2 linked regions of the Notamacropus eugenii genome follow. The protein of the gene in region 2 interacts with the protein of the main gene of each other region in a biochemical or structural test. Links are inferred from orthologs where the notes say so. Each region holds a gene or a part of one and is shown on either strand. Other genes may lie near its edges.

Evidence for each region. The genes of interacting proteins can lie anywhere in the genome.
Region 1: the proteins of VDR (region 2) and HR form a complex in vitro, tested with the Homo sapiens proteins (2 studies listed by BioGRID and IntAct). The link is inferred for Notamacropus eugenii from reciprocal best matches to the Homo sapiens genes VDR and HR.

What each region holds. Positions count from the first base shown.
Region 1 is NC_092872.1:612,532,641-612,541,937, forward strand, and holds the start of HR (lysine-specific demethylase hairless), read left to right. Parts: upstream 1-4,767; 5' UTR 4,768-4,897; intron 4,898-6,519; exon of another isoform or gene 6,520-6,637; intron 6,638-7,326; 5' UTR 7,327-7,365; coding exon 7,366-7,971; intron 7,972-8,324; coding exon 8,325-9,120; intron 9,121-9,297. Other genes in the region: protein HRURF, read left to right, coding at 4,663-4,767. UniProt on the Homo sapiens protein: Histone demethylase that specifically demethylates both mono- and dimethylated 'Lys-9' of histone H3. May act as a transcription regulator controlling hair biology (via targeting of collagens), neural activity, and cell cycle.
Region 2 is NC_092874.1:219,606,635-219,617,080, forward strand, and holds the start of VDR (vitamin D3 receptor), read right to left. Parts: upstream 3,730-10,446; 5' UTR 3,515-3,729; intron 2,436-3,514; 5' UTR 2,328-2,435; intron 1-2,327.

The DNA of each region.
Region 1 (9,297 bases), on a different chromosome or scaffold from region 2:
ATTTGGAGGATTGGCTACTCCAGTCTGGCTGTTCCTCCTAGAACAGGGGGCTTCTCTCTGTGTTTATAATTCTAGGCTGACCATTGATTAAGCCTTAATCCTCTGTCCAGAGGTGGTACCCTCTCCAGCTGGATCCCAATGGGATGGGTTTGCTACGTTAAGATAACAATTTTTTTGTCACTTCTTGAAGTATCTGTTAGGAAAGGAGATTTCTGGACTATGGGAGTGTGGATTAAATAACTTGATGGTTCCTCAAAGATCTCAGAGTCTAAGATTCTATCTATTCTATCTATTCAAACCTTGACTTTTTGTCCCACCGCTTGTCATGTTCTGTCTGACCTCTGGGGTGGAATGAAGAGGGTCATGCAGGATTTTCGGGACTGACAAGTACACAAGGGGGAACTCAAACTGTCCAAAGGACTCAGGGCCTTATCTACACCCACACTTCACACTCCCCTATCTCCTAATGATCACTCAGTCCATCTCACAGAATTACAGATTTTTGGAGCTGGAAGAAAACTCAGTGGTCATCTAGTAGAACCCATACAGGAACATCTCTGCAATAACCACTAAAAGTGGTCATCTCACCTTTGACAGAAAACACCTCAAAAAAGGAAACAGCTACTTCCCAAGGCAGCACATTCTTCTAGATCTTGGAGAGTTCTTAATTGTTAGGAAGTTTTTCCTTAAAGCAAGCCTAGATCTGTCTCTCTAAAACTTCCCCCCACTGCTTCTCATTGTGCCCTCTGGGGCCAAGCAGAAACACAACTAATCACTCTTCTGCATTACACTCCTTCCTCTGTCATGTCCATCTCTGACCCAGCCTGGATCCCAGTGACCAGAGCTGGGCCTCTGGCTCCATTTTAGACCTCCCAAGAGCATGCAGCCACCCACTCACCTTCTTTTCTCAATCCATCCCTTCTGACAAGGAAGTCCACCTTACCTTCCTCCCTACTTTGGTCTCTTCTGTTCTCTCTCTTGCTCCCCTTCTACCTCTCATTCTCCCTTTCCAGTATTTCTTCTCCTCTGTCTCCATCACTCCTTCCTCCCCCCCTACCCCGACATCTCCTATCAGCTTCTTATGTCAGTCTTTTCCTTTCCTCTCAATCACCACTTCCCTTTTTCTTAAGTCTCAGTTTCCCTCCTCCCCACTCCCCCCACCCTCTGTCTCTGCCCTCCATGTGCACAGCACACACATGGCCCTGTTGCTGTATTTTTAGATGCCAGTTTCAGCAACGTAATTAGCCTCTTGTTTCAACACAGTCTTGGCCCTGGCCAGGGCCAGGTTGTCCTGGCTGGCACTGCCCCACCCTGGGTGGGGGGGAGGGGGAAGGAAAGGGGAGGAGATGAGAATTCAGTCCCTTCCCCCTACTCAACCCCTAGGGTCAGAGCTTCCAACAGCTGACCACAAATGACAGGGCCCCAAAGTGCAGCCACAGAGATGCCCACTGCTAGGGGTGTGGTTGGGGGGGGGGGAGCCTGGTCCAGAGGCTCTTTTGCTCGACTCATAGAGAGTTCGGGTACTCAAAGTGGTTGGTTAGTATAAGGTGAAGCAGCCCTGAATTAAGGGCATCCTGGAGGCAGCTCCCTCTCCCTCAATTCAACAGACATTTATTAAATGACTTACTATCTGAGGGTGGTTAGAGTTTTTGTTTAGGTGGGGAGAGGGTTATGATTAGGAAGAGGAAGCGAAATCATGTTAGGGAGGTGGGTGAGTGGGTGAGAGAGGAGAGTTGTCTGCCACAGAGCTTTTCTTCAGCATTAAACTCATCTTCTGACAAACCCCTCCCTCCCCATGACCCATTTCTTCTCCCCCACCCCCACCCCCACCCAGATCCTTAGGGGCTCCGATGGTATTAACCCCCAACACTCCCCACCACAGGGGAGGCAGCCAGCCCCAGCTATCTGTGGGATGGAGGGGCTGGGGAAGTAGGGCTAGGTGCCCAGACAGCCGCATGTGTAGGAGGGGATGTCCTCGGATGCCCTCCACCCGGCAGTCCCAGCTCTGACGTGGGTGCCCCCCCCTTCCCTGCCCAGATTAGTGGCAGCTTGGCCTGGCTGTCCGGGGCTGCCCTCCCCCGGTCTGGGGGCTGCTCCAGTGGAGGGAGGCCTGGCTGGCCTGCCCAGGTAAGGGACTCTGGGGAAAGGGGTGAAGGTGGGTGGAGCTCCCAAATGCCCGTATGTTTGTTTGTGTTTGTGCTTGTCTGTGTGGGGGTTGGTTCAGGTCTGCGTCTGGGCACGCCTATGTTTTGGGTATTGGTCGGCTTGCCTTTGTATGTGTGTCCATTTGTGTATCACTTTTTCCTGTGTGTATTTGCGGCCTTTGTGTGTATTCCCACAGTGTTGCTCCACTCTCGGCGAAGAGGTGCTGACTGAAAGGCCATGGGCTTTGGTGCTGGCCTTGGAAAGCTAGATTGGAAGCCAGGATAGGGGTGGGTGAGGCTGTGGAGGGGACTCTCACATTGCCCCCACTTCCCAGGTTCTCTGAGAGCTTATGCTGGGAACAATTACCCAAATCAGGGTAAAGATGAGTCACAGACCTTGAGGAAAACTACCTGGTCTGTCACCCAAGGGGGCCTGACCTCACCCACATCCAGACTTGGAGAAGTGGGGCTTGGGACTTGAGTCTTGCCAAGGGTCCTTAGTCTCCCAAGGCCTAAGCCATAGGTTTTCCCTGCTGGCACTCTCTTCTAGCCTGCTGGCTGCTGGCTGGGGGACACCAAGAGAAGATGGATGTTACAATCCTACCAAGTACCCCTGGCCACATAGTGCCACCCTCTTGCACTCCCTGAAGCTAATCTCAGGACATATATTAGTGGGGTGGGGTGGGAGTCAGGAATAGAGGTTCTGATCTCTCCCATCTTCCAGGTAGGCCAGGCCCAAGCCAATATGGAAGGAGAGGGAGTTACCACCAGACATGGAGGCTATAAAACTGGATGTTAATAAACCATAGGCTCTGAATGGTCCCAGTTCCCCCTGGAACTCTTTTCTCTGCCCAAGCCCCACTCTATCCCTCAATCCTCCAACTTTTTCCCTCTCCTGTCTCTCACAAGTCCTTATTAGGTCATCTTCTTTCTGACTTGGATCTCCACTGATGGTAGCATGTCTCAGGGGTCCAGGGAAGGAAGGAACCATTCTCCCTTTCTTCTTCTTCCCTCTCACTGGAATTAATGACAGTAGCTAGCTTTGTGGATCAGGGATAGGTCCTAACACTGCGTTGGTTCCAGACTAGATAGAGGGCTGCACTCTCCAGATCCTGACTTAAGAGAGTAAGGGATGGGTGATAGATGCCCAGGTGAAGGGAAACACCTATTGAGCTTGTGTATGTGTATAAATCTGTCTGGCTGTCTGCGAACCTGGTTATGCTTCTTGAACCACCCCCACAGAGGAACCTTGGTGCTTCCTTGGGTGGAAGGGTACCTCACTTTCCCATTTCCTCTCCCACTCTTGGGTCCCTCCCTCTGGGCCACTCCCATCAACTGCTTTCCTGTATCGGTGCTAGAAGCCCTGGGAAAACTGGGTAGTAGAATAGAATCATAGGATGCCAGAGCTAGAAAGGACCTCAGAGAGCATCTACTCTAAACTCCATCGTTTTACAGATGAGGAAACAGACTCAGGGAGAGGTTATGTGGTGCTTCAAGTAGTTAATAGCTGGGTCTGGCTAAGAGAGAGAGTGTTAAGGAGTAAGGAGTGGGGGTTACGATGGAAAGGTGCAAAGGGAAAAAAGGGGAAAGGGATACATACATCTATGTGAGATAGACCCATCCCTCCATGGCACAGAGCAGATGTTTCCCATCCTTGACCCCATGACAACCTGACTGCTACTGCCAGCAATGACACTGCCCCTTCCTTTCATGCCCTACCCTGGAGGGGGGGAGCCCCACCCCATGAATCCTGCCCAGCCCCTCCCGCCCTTTGCTCTATTTCCCCAGCTTGGCACCTACTAGCGGGGTGCTGCCCGCCTGCCAGGCTCCGGGCCGGCCCACGGGAGGGTGGGGCCGCTGGGAAGCTGGCACGTTGCCCTAGGGGAGCCTCTCTCAGCAGGCGCCCGGGTGCCGCTGATGTGGGGGGAAGGGGGGAAACAAAGGACTCATTCTCTGGGTGCACAGCCGGTGGCATCGCAGGGGCGTTGGCGGAAGCCCCGGGGGGCCAGGAGGGGGCAGGCCTGGGCGGGGCTGAGGAATCACGGGCTCCTGTTCCCCCCGGGGTGCAGGAGGAGTAAACCAGCGGAGCAGCTTTTCGGCTCCCCAGTTGCGCGTCCGGCGATGGCGATAGGAGGTCCCGCTGCGCTCTCCGTGCCGCTTGGTCTACACTAGACGCGCAGCGCTGCGCTCACTTGGTGCCACCTTCCAGGGCACCCCGATCGCCCCCCCCCAACGACCCCTTCCCCTGGCCTCTCGGCCGCGTCCCCCCCACTCTACCTTTTCCAATCCGGGGCGCTTTTTCCCCCGGTCCAGCTTACTCTCCCCTCGGGGAGCCCGTTCCCCCCAGCCCAGCTCATTCTCCCTCCGGGGAGCCCTCTCCCCCGTCTCCGCCCAGTTCACTTTCCCTCCGGGGGCGTCCGCTCCCCCGGCCCAGCTCCTTCCATCCCCGGGGCACCCGCTCCCCAACCCCGACCCGTCCCGGATCACCCAGAGGCGCAGCACGGAGTCTCGGCGGCCCATGGCGCAGCCCACAACCTCAGCCCAGAAGCTGGTGCGGCCCATCCGCGCAGTGTGCCGCATCCTGCAGATCCCGGAGTCTGACCCCTCCAACCTGCGGCCCTAGAGCGCCCCCGACGCCCGGGGGAGAGAGGGGGTGAGAGGAGCTCGCAGGCCCCAGAGGTGGCTCATGGGGAGGGCGCGTCCAGCGCTAGCCAGGACCCCCGCTGCCTTCGCGCCAGGCCCCAGCAGCACAGGTGAGTACTAACAGTGGGACTGAGGAGAGCACGGGCATCTGGGATCCGAGAGAGTACTAAACCGATTGGTCAAATTGTCTTGGACCCATGTGCATCTGCATAAAGTTGTTCGTCCCTGGGGCAGCATTCCCACTTTAGATCGGCCCCCTAGAAAACCAAGGAGTCCTGTTTCTTAAGTTCCAACTCTTTTTTACTCCTTTCCTTTTTGTTTCTGTGGCACTGGGACCCCTAGACTGGATGGCGCAGAATTCCCCTGAGAAACAGTGCCAGCCCTGTGTCACGTCACGCTGTCATGCTAGTTTCAGTGACACCTGTCACACCAGTCTTGGTAGTTCCCTGCTCTGCTTGGGAGTTTCCCTCTTTTCCCTGCCCCTCTGTCTCTGGCTAAGGGCTTCTCTCCCTGGCTCTTTCTCTTCTAAGGGACACTATTACTCCCTGGAGTTAGGAAGACCTCACCTAAATCAACAAGGATGCCTCTTAATTCCTATTCACTTTAGGGTCTCTCCATGGAGATGTCTCAGCTTTTGCCAGGAGCAAGGACTCATCTGAGCCCAGGGGGAGAGTTCAGACCCCACCAGCTGTTCTGGGCTCCTTGGGGGAGCTAAATAGGATAATCTTAGAGGACCAAGAAGAGGCAGAGTTTTGAGAGTTGCCAAAGTAATGCCCTCAGCCTTAGGGTGCATTCGTCCCTAGTAACTTTTTTTTTTAACCAGATATATACTCTTTTCACCCTGGGAGGCTAGAATGGGACGATTGTAACAGAGCTAACTCTGTTTTCCAGTCTGTAAGATGAGGGAGTTAGAGGAGGTAACCTCTGAGGTTCTTTGCATTTTTTAATATTGTGCTGTAGTCATAACTCATAAGTTCAAGATTTCAAAGGTGAATGAGACCTTATAGACTATTTTGTTAAATTTCCTTAACCCAGAGAAAGAAATTGAAAGTCACACATTTAATAAGATTCCAGAGCCTGGACCCTAATCTTCTGACTTCCAGTCTTATAGTTTTCCACAAAGGTTTCCAGACATTTCTTCCGGGTTCTCATTTTCTCTTCTTTAATATGCTGGTGGAGAGGAAGTCCTAGGTTCTATCTCCTGGTGGTCTAGTGAAAATAACACTAAATTTAGTAAAGGGCTTCCGAGGTAGGTTTGAATCCAGGCTTTGCTCCTCACTAACCCATGTTCCCTTGGGCAAGCCATTTATTTAAACCTCTCTGAAGCTCAGTTCCTTCCTCTGTACAATGATGTGGTCAGATTAGATGTTTTCCACTTTCAGATCTATGCTTTTGTGTCCTCCACCCCTTCTTAAATCATGTGGGACTGAAGAGCTTTGCCCAATTCAATCTAATCCCAATTCAATCTAAGAAGCATTTATAAAATGTGGATTAGGTGTAAGGCACCATGTTAAGTGATGGGGGTACAAAGATAAAGATGAAACTGTTCTGCCATTTATCCTTTAACAGCTAAGTGCATAAATGGAGATTTGAGGAGGGAGAGATTGTCAATGACGAAGGGGGCCAGGAAAGGCTCCCCATGGTAGGTAACACATAAGATGAGTCTTGAATAAACCTTAGGATTCTAAGAGAAGAAGGTGAGGAGGGAGTGAATTCCAGTGAAGGGGCACAGCCTGTTCAAAGTCATGGAGGCCGGAGATGGAATCCTGAGTTTGGGGAACAGCGAGTAGACCAGTTTGGCTGGAACAGAGAGTTCATGAAGGGGCGTAACGTGAAATAAGCCTGGAAAGGTAGGCTGGAACCAGACTGGAAATGGTTACAAAGACTAAGCTGAGGAGTTTTGAATTTTATCCTAGAGGCAATAGGAAATCATTGGAGATCCTTTGAGCAGAGGGAAATGACATGGTCATAAGCCAACTTTTTATGTATGATGTTACATATTAGTTTAAGATATTTATGTTTATAGGCTATTTTCCACCAACCATGACTGCATACTAATAAATATGGAATAGGCAGTTGAATATTATAAAAATCAAGCTGTCTTTCAACCAAGCTAAAATAACCCATATCATTAATGAATTATATTTCTGTTTACTGATGTTCTAGTCAAATGAAATTGATGCTACAAATATTTAAAGATGTTAAGAGATACAAAAACAATAATAAAAAGATCCTCCAACTCCACTCCTATTCCTACTGAGGTTCCCTGGCTTTGGTGGAATATGACAGGGAGTAGGGGGAGGGTCGGGGAGGATGGGGAGGAATAGTGTTGCTTCTTTAGAGTGGGGGCATCAACAGGTCCAGGGTGGGAAACTTAGGGCACTCTGTGGGCAGGCAACTTGGTGCCCAGTCATTGGCTTGTACTTGCCTTACCGGTTTGTGCTGCCTCGATGCCGCCAGGGTGGGGCTGTCTTTGTACCAGGCAGCAGGGATGCCCAGGCAATGCACCTGAGTCCATGCTTTGTTGGTTTCATCACAGGGAGTCCCTTTGTGAGAGCCCCATGAGGGCAGAGGCATCATGGAAAGCACACCCAGCTACCTGCAAGACGCCCCCACCTGGGAAAAGCCAGCATCAGAGAATGGCATCAGACAGGAGCCAGGCACTTTGCCACGGGGTCCACACCATGGGCCACTGTGCCTGGGGGAGTCTGCTCCCTTTTGGAGAGGGACCCTGAGCCCCCCAGACTCTTGGTTTCCACATGGCTTACCCCATGGCTCAAATGACCCACTTCCATTCTTGGGGGGTGAGGGACCCCGTAATGGTGAAGGAAAGGCTAGCTGGTTGGGGGCCAAAGAGGGGCTGCGATGGAAGGAAGCAATGCTAGCCCACCAGCTGGCACTCTGTGGGCAGCCATGCCCACCCCGTCATAACCTCCTGCCCCCAGAGCAAGGTGGCAGCCACCCCAAGAATGATCCATTGGCTTTCCGGCCCTTACATTGCCCCTTTCTTCTGGAGACCAAGATCCTAGAGAGGACCCCTTTCTGGGTACCCACCTGCCTGCCTCCTTACTTGGTGCCCAGCCAGCCCCACGATCGGCCTTCTGATTGGCCCCTAGCTCCTTATCCTTGGGCATACCTGGGGGCCCAGCCCAAGAGTCCTCCCGCTTTCAACTCAGGAAGCAAGGTAAGGACTTGAAAGTGTTGAGAATACCCAGAGGGAACTGAAACTGGGGAGGCTGTAAAGAAGGAAAGAAACAATTGATTCTCTTGGCTCAGTGGAAACTCTTCAGAAGAATTCCATTCAATTCAACAAGTCTTTATTAAGTGTCCTACCTTCCCATCCAAGCACCAGATTAGAGGACATAAAGACTGGGTTTTTTAACTGAAAGACCTAGCCTGGGACCCCAGGATCAGTTTCAAGTTAACTGTCCTCCATAGACCATTCCTTCATTTCCCCCTGTCCACTCATCCCTGTTCCATCCTTCTCTATTACGAGCCAAAGCCAGTGCACAGCTTACCCCTTTCTTCTCCCTTTAGGGCTTTTATCACAAAGATCTAGGCATACCTCGCCTGGCAAAAGAGATGCTGACCACTGCTGAACCTGGGTTGTTGGGCGTAGCCCCTGGTGGGCATCTTCAGAGAGCTGGGGAGATGGATCGGTCCCTATCCTACCAAAAGGATGGGGAGTCAGGAGCCAATGGGCACCAGAACCTTTGTCCACTTCTTGGGGGGTGCCCAGATATAATCAGCAGCCAGACAGTCTGGCCTGCTCATCCCCCAGGCTTGGTTCATACTCTCAGCAGTTCCTGGGTAGTGCCTCGAAATGGGAACCTCAGAAACTCCCAGCCAGGGCCACCCTCTGGGTCAGAGTGCTCTTCACCAGGGCAATCTGTCAATCAGATGGGCTGCTGTACATCCCATCTACCTGCTGGAGATGGGAGTCTTAGCCACTGTGGAAAGTGCCAGGCAGGCACAGAAGGTGGTACTACTGGGACAGCTGGGTCCACTGAAGAAGTTGGCAAGCATCCTGGGCCAGAGGCCTGCCCCCCAAGCCACCATACCAAGTTAAAGAAGACCTGGCTCACTCGGCATTCTGAGCAATATGGGTGTTCGGCTGGGTGCCCAGGGGAGGAGATGGGCCCAACCACTCAGGTTGGGTCCCTCAAGAGGGAGGGAAGTCCTGAGATGGGGGGAGCAGCTGGTAGTCCAGCCCCCAAGCGTCCAGCTGACTCCTTCCCAAGCAGTGAGGGACAGGGGACTGGGAGTTGGCAGGAAGCTTTGGAACCACCACCTGGGAGCAAGGCTGAGACAACAGAACATGATGGCTGGAGAGGTGAGCTGGGCATGAATGACAGCTGGGGCAACGGGGACTTGGGAATCAGGGCAAGGGCTGGAGGGTGAGGCTTGGGATGAAATTCTGGCCCTGTCCAACACTCAGCAGGTCTTTTTCCAGTTGCTTATTATACCCAACATCTCAACTTTTTCCATCTGAATCCCACTGACTCTTTGG
Region 2 (10,446 bases):
TAAGCAGAGGACAAAGCATCAAATGCATATGGTTGGTGACAGAAATTTAAGTCCAGTGGACATTCTGTTTGCTTTCCCTCTTGTGAGGAAACCCTGATCCTTTAATCTGCCTGAATATATTTCTTCCTGTTTACCCCTCTAATCTGGGGGGAGGGAGAGGAAGAAGATAGTTCTATCCTCCAGCTACAAGTCATATTATAGCCTGCTATACCTTGTTACATCTGCATTTGTATGCTGTTTGATACTTCTATTAAAGTATATGAGTATTAACAATGATTTAATTTATGCCTATAAGTGCACAGTTTGAAATTTAGAGAAGGGAAGCTAACCCATAGGGAAAAGAGATTTTCTCCAGGTAGGAGCTATATGATTACAACCCTAAAACAGACTCCATAATAAGGAAGACAAATAATTAGAGAGAAATCTATTATTCAAGGTTGGGCCACCCTAACAGAATAGAAATGGTGACATTATCTAAATTAATTTATATATTTAATTTAATACCATACCAAACTACAAGTAGTTACTTTATAGAACTAAACACAATATGAGATTTATCTGCATGAAGAAAATGTCAAGAGCCACTAGGGAAGTAATAAAAAAAAAAAGAAGGAAAGGGAGAGGATAGCATTTTGTTACAAGGGATGATTCTATTGGGAGGAGTCATTGGGGAGTGAATGTGATAAAGAAAAGAAAAAGCATGAACATTTAAAAAGAAAAAATGTATACTATGCAAAGGGAGGGAAAGAGAGTGGGCCAGTGAAGCAAGTGGGAAAACTACCTAGAAAAGTAATCTTTATTGCTCGAGGAAGAAACAACAATTCATATTTAGAAATTGCTTTAAGGTTTACAAAGCCTTTTCTTTCCAGGGTAGTTAGTATAACTTAAACCTACTTTATAGATAAGGAAACTGAGGTTTAGAGAGATAAAGTGACTTGTCTGAGGTCCCATGGTAACTGTCCAAAATTTGACCTCAGGTTTCTCAGGACATGTCCTCTACTCTCTACTGCCTTTAGAAACCAGTTCAGTTCTGGCCCAAGTATAAAGCCTCATAATTCTTCCATACTGTGGCTGTCAGGAGAACAAAAATATGCTTGATATAATAGAAAAAGTACCGAACTTGGAACAAATCACTAAAGAGCCTTTTTCTTTATCTGCAGAACAGGGCAACAATACCTGTCCTATCTACTTCATAGGAACACAAGAGATAACATGTAGAATACTACATACTACATAAATATGGAGTGTTATTATTAGCTAGACTGTTGTCCCAGCTCAGACTTCTAGGTCCCCCTAACTCTTTGACTCTGTGCTCAGAGGGACCCAAGTTAATAGCCTGCTCAAACTAGGAGGTTGTTGGAATTGGTTCTAGAAGAACTCTCCTGGGCCAGTATCTAGGTCTAAGGGTTAATATGGGACAGAACATAGTAAGCTAATGAACTGCGTACTACTCCATTCTACCTTGGGGGGATGGAACTATCTTGTTCTGGCCCAGTATCATTCTCCAAATTTTACACGTCTAGCCCTGGAGAAGCATTGGGTTTGTGCTTTGGGAGAGTTCAAGAGTTTCACTTTATTTTTATAAAGGATTTGATATCAAGGAAAGAGCAATCCTAAGGCAAAGTGAGAATATTCCAAGAAATAAATTATCTTAATCCTGCACATTACTTACACAAATAAAGAACAACCTAAATCCAGTCCCAATGAAGTAAACCCACTGGACTTTCTCCCTTCTCCCCTTTAATCTCTTCCCAGACTAGAGGCTTGGAAGGGCTCAAAGTTTTGTCTCCTCCAGAAGTTCACACCACTAGTGACCCAAAGACTCACCAAACCCATAAGCCTGAGATCTGGTTGAAACATGGATTGTAAATTTCCTAACTTTCTACAGTCTGAGTCATCCGCATAGCCCAATGAGGCATTAAGGCCTCTCCTCAAATGAATTGAAAAAGGGAAGCAGCAGGGTCTGGGGCCAAAGAAGAAACTCTGATGCCCCTATTATCCCCTTAGGGGGATCTCTATCCCCTTCTACCAAAGAAGACCAAAAACATATTTAAGGACTACTCTCTCTAGGGTAATCTGACTATATCACAATCTTGTCATTTTTCCTCCAGAAGAAATAAGTCATTTCTTACACTTGCGCAGCGAGAACAACAACAAAGAGGGTAAAGGGTTCCAGTTCCACCCCTCTCATGGATAGCCCTGAGTAAAGGTGAAGAAGCCTGGCTGTCCAGATCTCTTCTTCCAGCTCAAGGCATGACCCCTCTTTTGTCCTTCTCCAAACTCATTTGGTGAAAGGCACAGCCCTTGTCTCTGCACTTTGAACTTACCGGCTGAGGTCATCGGCTGAAGCGATCACTCAGGGGTGAGGTGGTAGGCAGGAAAAAGCTGGACCATTTCAATGACAGCTCTGGAGTACTAGGACCCACCACCAAATCCTGAGAAAAAAATGGGAAAAACATGTAGTCACACCTGGGGGTGGTCACTCCTGGCTCCTTTCAGAAACATCCCAGAAAACCTTAGGGCCATTGCTTCCTTAGAAATGCCTGTTTCTTTGCCCTAACTAGCCCATACTCACCTCCTCATGGAAGACAGCCACCTAACAATGATTTGGGGGCAGAACTGAACTCTGCCCAAGAGTGTTTCCGCAAAGCTCAAAGAAGATCTAACCCAGGCTCTAGCCCCCCTGGCTGTGTCTGAGCCCAGACAGGAGGCTGACTCACTCACCGCACGGAGGAGGAGAGAAAAGGAGGAGGAGGACCAGGAAGGGCTCAGACCCAGCTAGGCTGGGGGCACCCTGCCTGTTCCACCCCACTCATTCCCCAGGTATCAAGGGCCTTGTCCTTGATCTTCTATTAGCCAGAGGGCTAGACCCTCTCCCCTGGGCAGACCCCGCTCTTCACAACTCCCTCAAGCCCCACACGCAGTTCCTTCACAGAAACTTTCCCAAATGGCTTTCACTCATTCGCCCACGGAAATTTCTCACTTCAACTCATTTCCCTCTCTCAGAAGCAGCTCCCGAGTCCCCTCCGCACTCTGACACTGTCCCAGAGGTACTGAAAGGAGCCGTTCTACAGCCCCCCCAAGCTCCCCATCCCCTCGACCACACGCGCACTCTGGAGGCACGTCCTTCGTTAAATGGCACCGTACAATAATGATAGTTGTAGAACCTTCTACTTTAAGAAACTCTACAGGATAGGAGCCTTAGAGACCCTTCTTGCGCGTCTTAAGATTCCCCGGGGGAATGGACAAAGATCAAAAGCGCCCAGATGGACTCTAGGACTCCCTATAGTCATCAGTTTCCTTCAGACCCTCTCCCAAAAAGCACCCCACGCTGCCTCCCCAATTCCAACTCGAACGCTTTTTCGCTTGTTGACTTGGGAGCCCAGTCAGTTCAAGCCTACAGTCCACTTCCTCGCTGGGCAAAGGCTCCCAGGACTCCGTTCTTTCTCCCAGCTAGCCCGCTGTCCAGCCTGACTCGTGGCACCACAGCCTGGCGCTCAGACGGTGCCCTCACCTCCCAGCCTCGCTCAGTGGCCCAGGGGCGCACACACTGGCAGGCGTACACCCCCTCCTCCTCGGTCCCCGAGATCTCGAGATCTCCACCGCGAACCCGCTCCCAGTCTCGGTCCCGGTCCCGGCTCGGAGCCCAGTCCCGGTCCTTGCTCCGCACCTGGCCCCGGCACACGCCCGCTGGGAGATCGGAACCGCTCAAGCTGGGAGGCTGCCTTTTGACAAGAAGAGACAGCCCCGCACCTGGCCCCGCCCCCTGGCTCTGACCCTGCCTCCGGACCCGCCCCATCACTTTGGCCCGGCTCCTGGGTCCCAGTCCTCCCCAGCCAGTGGCTGGGGCAGGCTGAGCTCAATCTGCTCCGACACCATCTTGAGTTTCGAATCAGTCACTCTCCCGTGGAGGGTGCGGGGGAACCTATTCCGTGCATCCCCGAAGCTTTGGGAGCAAGACGGAGTCCCCCCCTCTGTATTATGTCGTCTCAGTCACCGTGACTCTGAAGATGCCCGTTCTGGCCTTTTTGTGTTACTTTGTGGACAGCTCCCCCCCCTGCACCTCACAGTGGTACAGTCCGCAGCACTCTCCAGGTGCGTCGCCACACCTGGATGGGTCTGCGCCTTGGGAAGGTTGTCAGCGCGCGTCGTGCAGAAGATGGGGGTTAGATCTGTTCTTTCCACCGGCTGTGGAGAGGAAAACAAAGGACAGTGTAAACCGTCCTCTGGAGGCTGGCCCAAGTGCCAGCGCAAGCATGCTGCTCCTTAACTTCAGGATTTTAATTGAGTGTTTTTGTTACTCTGAACTTGTTAGTCTAAAACTTAACTTTGTTATCCTAACACCATCGAATACTAACAATTCCACATATTACAAGGGGGGAAGATGTGTTATATATGAAGTATATATATATAGCTTTGTAGAGTATGTATGTATATAGCTTTTTAAAAGTACGCAACAAATTTCATCGATAGTTCCAAAGCTGTCCTATTTATCTACGTCTCCTCCAGAACCTCCTTCGGTTCTCTTCTGTGCTTTTAAAAATATGTTATTCATACTTTCTTCACCTTTTTTTTGCCATCGCTATCACTAACCTCCTTCTTACTCTCCCTCTTTCCCAAAGCCTTCCCTTATAACAAATAAACATGGTCCAGTGAAAAACAAATCCATTGGCCTTGCCTGAACGTGTGTGTTCCGTTGGGCACCTCTAATCCATCACCGTGGGAGTTCTAGAGCTCTGGAGGACTTGGGTCCCCCGGGGTTAGAGCTGATGGGCAGCTGCAGGAGCTGCTGCGTCAGAGAAGACCTTCACTGGACTGGGCTGAGCCTGGAAGACTTATCCTGGGGGGGTATTTGGACAATGTCAAGAGGAAGTGAAATGTAAAATACCTAATTAGCAGTCTCTGATTTTTCAGTCTTCTCCCAATGTTATCACTGGATCAGAGGGGATGGATAGTGTTTTTTTGTTGTTATGATTCCATATTTCTTTCCAGAATGGTTGGATCAATTCACATTGCATTAATGAGTCTAATCGCCTCCAAAAATGCTCAATTTCATTTTTTAGTCATCTTTGTGAATCTGTTGAGTATGGGGTATTTTAATTTGATTTAATGAGAATTATTTTAATTTTCACTTCTCATATTAGTGATATCAAATGTTTTTTCATATCATTATTGGTTGCTGCTTTTGGAAATTGCCTGTTTATAACCTTATCTCTTGGGGAATGGCTCTTTTTCTTCCATATTTGAATCAATTTATTATATATCTGAGACATTAGAACTTTATGAGGGAAATTTTCTGCAAATTTTTTTTTTACTAGTTAACTGTTTCATTTCTCATTTAAATTGCACTGATTTTGCTTGTGCAGAAGCTTTTCAAAGTTCATATGATAAAAAATATTCATTTTATTTCTTGTGATTTTCTCCATTCATTATTTACTCAAGAAATCTTCTTCCATCCATAACAGTGAATACTATCTCCTTTCTTGCTCCTTATGATGTGACCTTTTATGTCTAGGTTATGTGTCCATTTGCAATTTATACTGGTATATGATTTCAGATGTTGGCCTAAATCTAATTTCTGCTGGGCAGTTTTTAGTTTTCAGAGCAGTTTTTGCCAACTAGCAAGTCCTGAACTTGGAGTCCAGGGGTTTATCAAACACAGTGTTATTATGCTTGTTTGCTTCTAGATTTGGTGTATCATGTTTGACCAATCAGTCTTCCTGTTTTTTTAAACTAATACCAAATAATTTTCATAATTATTGTTTTCTAGTATGGCTTAAGATCTGGTGCTGCTAGGCTCCCTTCCTTTTGACTTTTTTATTTCCCTTGAAGTTCTTGATCTTTCCTTCTAATGAATTTTGTTAGTGATTTTTCTAGTTCTATGAAGTAACCCTTTAGTATTTTGATACTGAAGACAGATACATAATGCAGTGGATAGAGGACAGGGCCTGGAGTCGGGAAGACTCATCTAACTGGGTTCAAATCTGGTCTCAGACACTTACTAGACAGTTTCCTTATTGATAAATGGAGATGGAGAAGGAAATATTAAATCACTCTAGTATCTTTGACAAGAAAACCCCGCAAAGGCCACAAAGAGTCAACAACAATAAAAAATTTGATTAGCATGGCACTGAATAAGTAAATTAATTTAGATAATGTAATTTTTATTACATTGACGCTATCCAACTATGAGCTTCAGTTTTTAGGTTTGTCTTTAAATCTTCATAGAATTCTCTATAGAGAATTTTGGAGTCACATAATCCCTGTGTGTTTCTTGATAATGTGGACTCCCAGATATCTTATGCATAGATATTAGGAATGGAATTTTCATTTCCTTCTCTTTTTCTTTTGGGTTTTGTTGCTCATATACACAAATTCCAGTGATATATGTGAGTTTATTGTATATCCCACTTGGCTGAAATTATTGTTTCAGTTAATTATTAGTTGAATTTTTAAGGTTCTCTAGTAAACTATCATTTCATAGGCAGTCAGTCACTCATCGGTCAATAAGCATTTATTAAGGACTTACCCTGGGCCAGGCACTGTGCTAAGTACAGGAAATGCAGATAGAAAGAAGAAAGAAAACAGTCTCCACTCGTAAGGAACTTACATTCTAATGGTGGAAGGCAACAGGTAAAAGGAATCTGAAAAATGGGTTTGAGGGAGGAGAAGGTAACTGGTAAGGTAGAATGCTAGAGAAGTCTGGCGTGCAGCCTTGCGAAAAATTAAGGGAAAAAAAGGTGATTATTGTGCTTTTTTTGCCTATGTTCATTGCCTAAATTTTCTTTTCTTGTTTTGTTAATATACCTAAAATGACTAGTACTGGGTCAAATACCAGAGGTGATAATGAACATTTTTGCCTCAAGCATGATCTTATTGGAAAGGCCCCTACAGCATTTCCCCATCACAGATAATACTGACTCAATTTGTTGTTCAGTCATTTCCTGTCCAACTCTTTGTGACTCCATTTAGGGTTTTTTTGGCAAAGGTGTTGGAGTGGTTTGCCATTCTTTTCTCCAGCTTATTTTACAGATGAAGAAATGGAGGCAAACAGGGTTAAGTGACTTGGCCAGGGTCACATAGCTAGTAAGTGCCTGAGGCCAGATTTGAACTCAGTCTTCCTGACTTCTGGCCCAGCCCTCAATCCACATGGACTCCTAGCTGCCCATTCACTCCATTACTATTAGGCAAAATAATTTCTAATAATTTCCGTTATTCATTTGTTGTGATTTCTTCTTACTGATATTTTTCATTTGGTCCACTTTTCTTAAAAATCAGATCAGCCAACAGTTTATCTATTTTATCATTCTTTTAAAGCTCATTTTCTAGTTTATTATCAATTCAGTGGAGTTTTTGTTTTCAATTTTATATCTTTGACTTTCAGAATTTTTATCTTTGTGTATAGTTGCAAGGCTTTTTTGGTTACTTTTCTAAATGTTTTTTGGTTGGCTGCTCAAGTCGACGATCTATTCTTTCTCTCTTTTGTTTTTAATTAATTAATTAATTAATTTTTTGTTTTCAACATTCATTTCCACAAGATTTTGAGGTCCAAATTTTCTCCCCATCTCTCTCCTCCCCCCACCCCAAGATAACGTGCATTCTGATTACCCCTTCCCCCAATCTGCCCTCCCTTCTATCACATACCTCCCTTCCCTTATCCCCATCTTCTGTCTTTTTTTGTAAGCCAAGATAGATACCCCATTACCTGTATTTATTTCCCAGTTACATGCAAAAACAATTCTCAGCATTCATTTCTAAAATTTTGAATTCCAGCTTCTCTCCCTTCCTCCCTCTCCACCCATCCCCACTAAGAAGGCAAGCAATTCAATATAGGCTATACATGTGTATATATACATACAAAAGTTTTCCATAATAGTCATGCTGTGAAAGACTAAATATATTTCCCTCCATCCTGTCCTGCCCCCCATTTATTCTATTCTCTCTTTTGACCTTGTTCCTCCCCAAAAGTATTTACTTCTAATTACTCCCTCCTCCCATTTGCCCTCCCTTCTATCATTCCCCCACACTCCACTTATCCCCTTCTCCCCTACTTTCTTGTAGTGTAAGATAGATTTTCATATCAAATTGAGTGTGCATTTTATTCCCTCCTTAAGCCAAATGTGATGAGAGTAAGCTTCACTTTTTCCCTCTCACCTCTCCCCTTTTACCCTCCATTGAAAAAGCTTTTTCTTGACTCATTTATGAGAGATAATTGGCCCCATTCCATTTCTCCCTTTCTCCTCCCAATATATTCCTCTCTCACCTGTTCTTTTTATTTTTTTAGATATCATCTCTTCCTATTCAACTCACACTTTGCCCTCTGTCTATATATATATATATATATATATATATATATATATATATATATATATATATATATATATATATATATATGTATATAATCCCTTCAACTACCCAAATACTAAGAAAAGTTTCAAGAGTTACAAATATTATCTTTCCATGTAGAAATGTAAACAGTTCAACTTTAGTAAGTCCCTTATGATTTCTCTTTCCTGTTTACCTTTCTATGTTTCTCTTGATTCTTGTGTTTGAAAGTCAAATTTTCTATTTGAAAATTCTGATCTTTTCATCAGGAATGCTTGAAAGTCCTCTATTTCACTGAATGATCATTTTTTCCCCTGAAGTATTATACTCAGTTTTGCTGGGTAGGTGATTCTTGGTTTTAGTCCTAGTTCCTTTGACTTTTGGAGCATCATATTCCAAGTCCTTCAATCATTTAATGTAGCAGCTGCTAGATCTTGTATTATCCTGATTGTATTTCCGCAATACTCAAATTGTTTCTTTCTGGTTTCTTGCAATATTTTCTCCTTGACCTGGGAACTCAGGAATTTGGCTACAGTATTTCTAGAAGTTTTTTCTTTTCAGATTTCTTTCAGGAGGTGATTAGTGAATTCTTTCAATATCTAGTTTATCCTCCAGTTCTAGAACATCAGGGCAGTTTTTCTTGATAATTTCATGACAGATGATGTCTAGGCTCTTTTTTTGATCATGGCTTTCAGGTAGTCCCATAATTTTTAAATTGTCTCTCCTGGATCTATTTTCTAGGTCAGTTGTTTTTGCAATGAGACATTTCACATTTTCTGCCATTTTTCATTCCTCTAGTTTTGTTTTATAATTTCCTGATTTTTCATATAGTCATTAGCTTCCATCTGCTCCATTCTAATCTTTAGGGAATTATTTTCTTTAGTGAGCTTTTGGATCTCCTCTTCCATCTGGTCAATTCTGCTTTTTAGGGCATTCTTCTCCTCATTGGCTTTTTGGCTCTCTTTTGCCATTTGGGTTAGTCTATTTTTTAAGGTGTTGTTTTCTTCAGCATTTTTGCGGTCTCCTTTAGCAAGCAGTTGACTTGTTTTTCATTATTTTCTTGCATCACTCTCATTTCTCTTCTCAATTTTTGCTCTACTTCTCTTACTTGATTTTCAAAATCCTTTTTGAGCTCTTCCATAGCCTGAGACCAATTTAAATTTTTCTTGGAGGCTTTGGATAAAAGAGCTTTAACTTTGTTTTCTTCTGTTTGCATACTTTGGTCTTCCTTGTCACCAAAGTAAGATTCTATAGTCTGATTCTTTTTCCAGTTTTTCTCATTTCTCCAGCCATTTACTTGACTTTTGAGCTCTTTGTCAAGGCAGTTCTCTGCTTCCAGTGGGTGTGGGGAGTATACTGTCACCTGCTTGAACCCCCCACAATCTGTGGGCCTAGAGCTCCAGAAACAGTGGCTCCAGCTGCCTCTGCTGCTGCAGTGGCTGCTACAAGTTTCTTCATCCCCTCCCCACTCTGCTTTCATGGGCCTGGGGCCTGACCACTCCACTTTCTGGTCCCACAGCCTTTTTCCGCTGACCTTCCAATTTATCCTCCATGTTTTGGGGTCATGAAATCTGGAAACCACCACAGGTGTGAGAGATTCAGTCTCCCCAAGGCCTGCTTGGGTCCCCCTCTGTGCACTTGAGGGCCACACTGGACTGCGCTCTGCTCCCAGTGAGGTACAATAGACACTTTCCAGCGACCTTCCAGGCTGTCTTGGACTGGAGATTTGCTTCACTCCATCATTCTGTGGGTTCTGCAGCTCCAGAATTTGTTTAGAGCCATTTTTTGCAGGTATTTGACTGGGCTTGGTGGGAACCCTCTAGAAAGTCTGTGCTGTTCTTCTGCCATCTTGGCTCTGCCTCCTTAATAAATATTGATTGACAAATCAAATTGTAAGTCTGGCAGAATAGCTTAAAAAAACATGGAAACTAAATAATTTCAAATTAAAGCACATATTTCTATGTCTTGACTCTTTCTCAGTAGGCTTACTATGAGGGTTGGGGGAGTGGTTAGCAACTATGCTATTAGAGTGGGCAATTATACAGAAGGTGGGGTAGCTCTTCTCTCCATCAAGCTCTGCTCCAACTCCTTTGAGGTGGGAACAAGAATGGAGCAAAACTT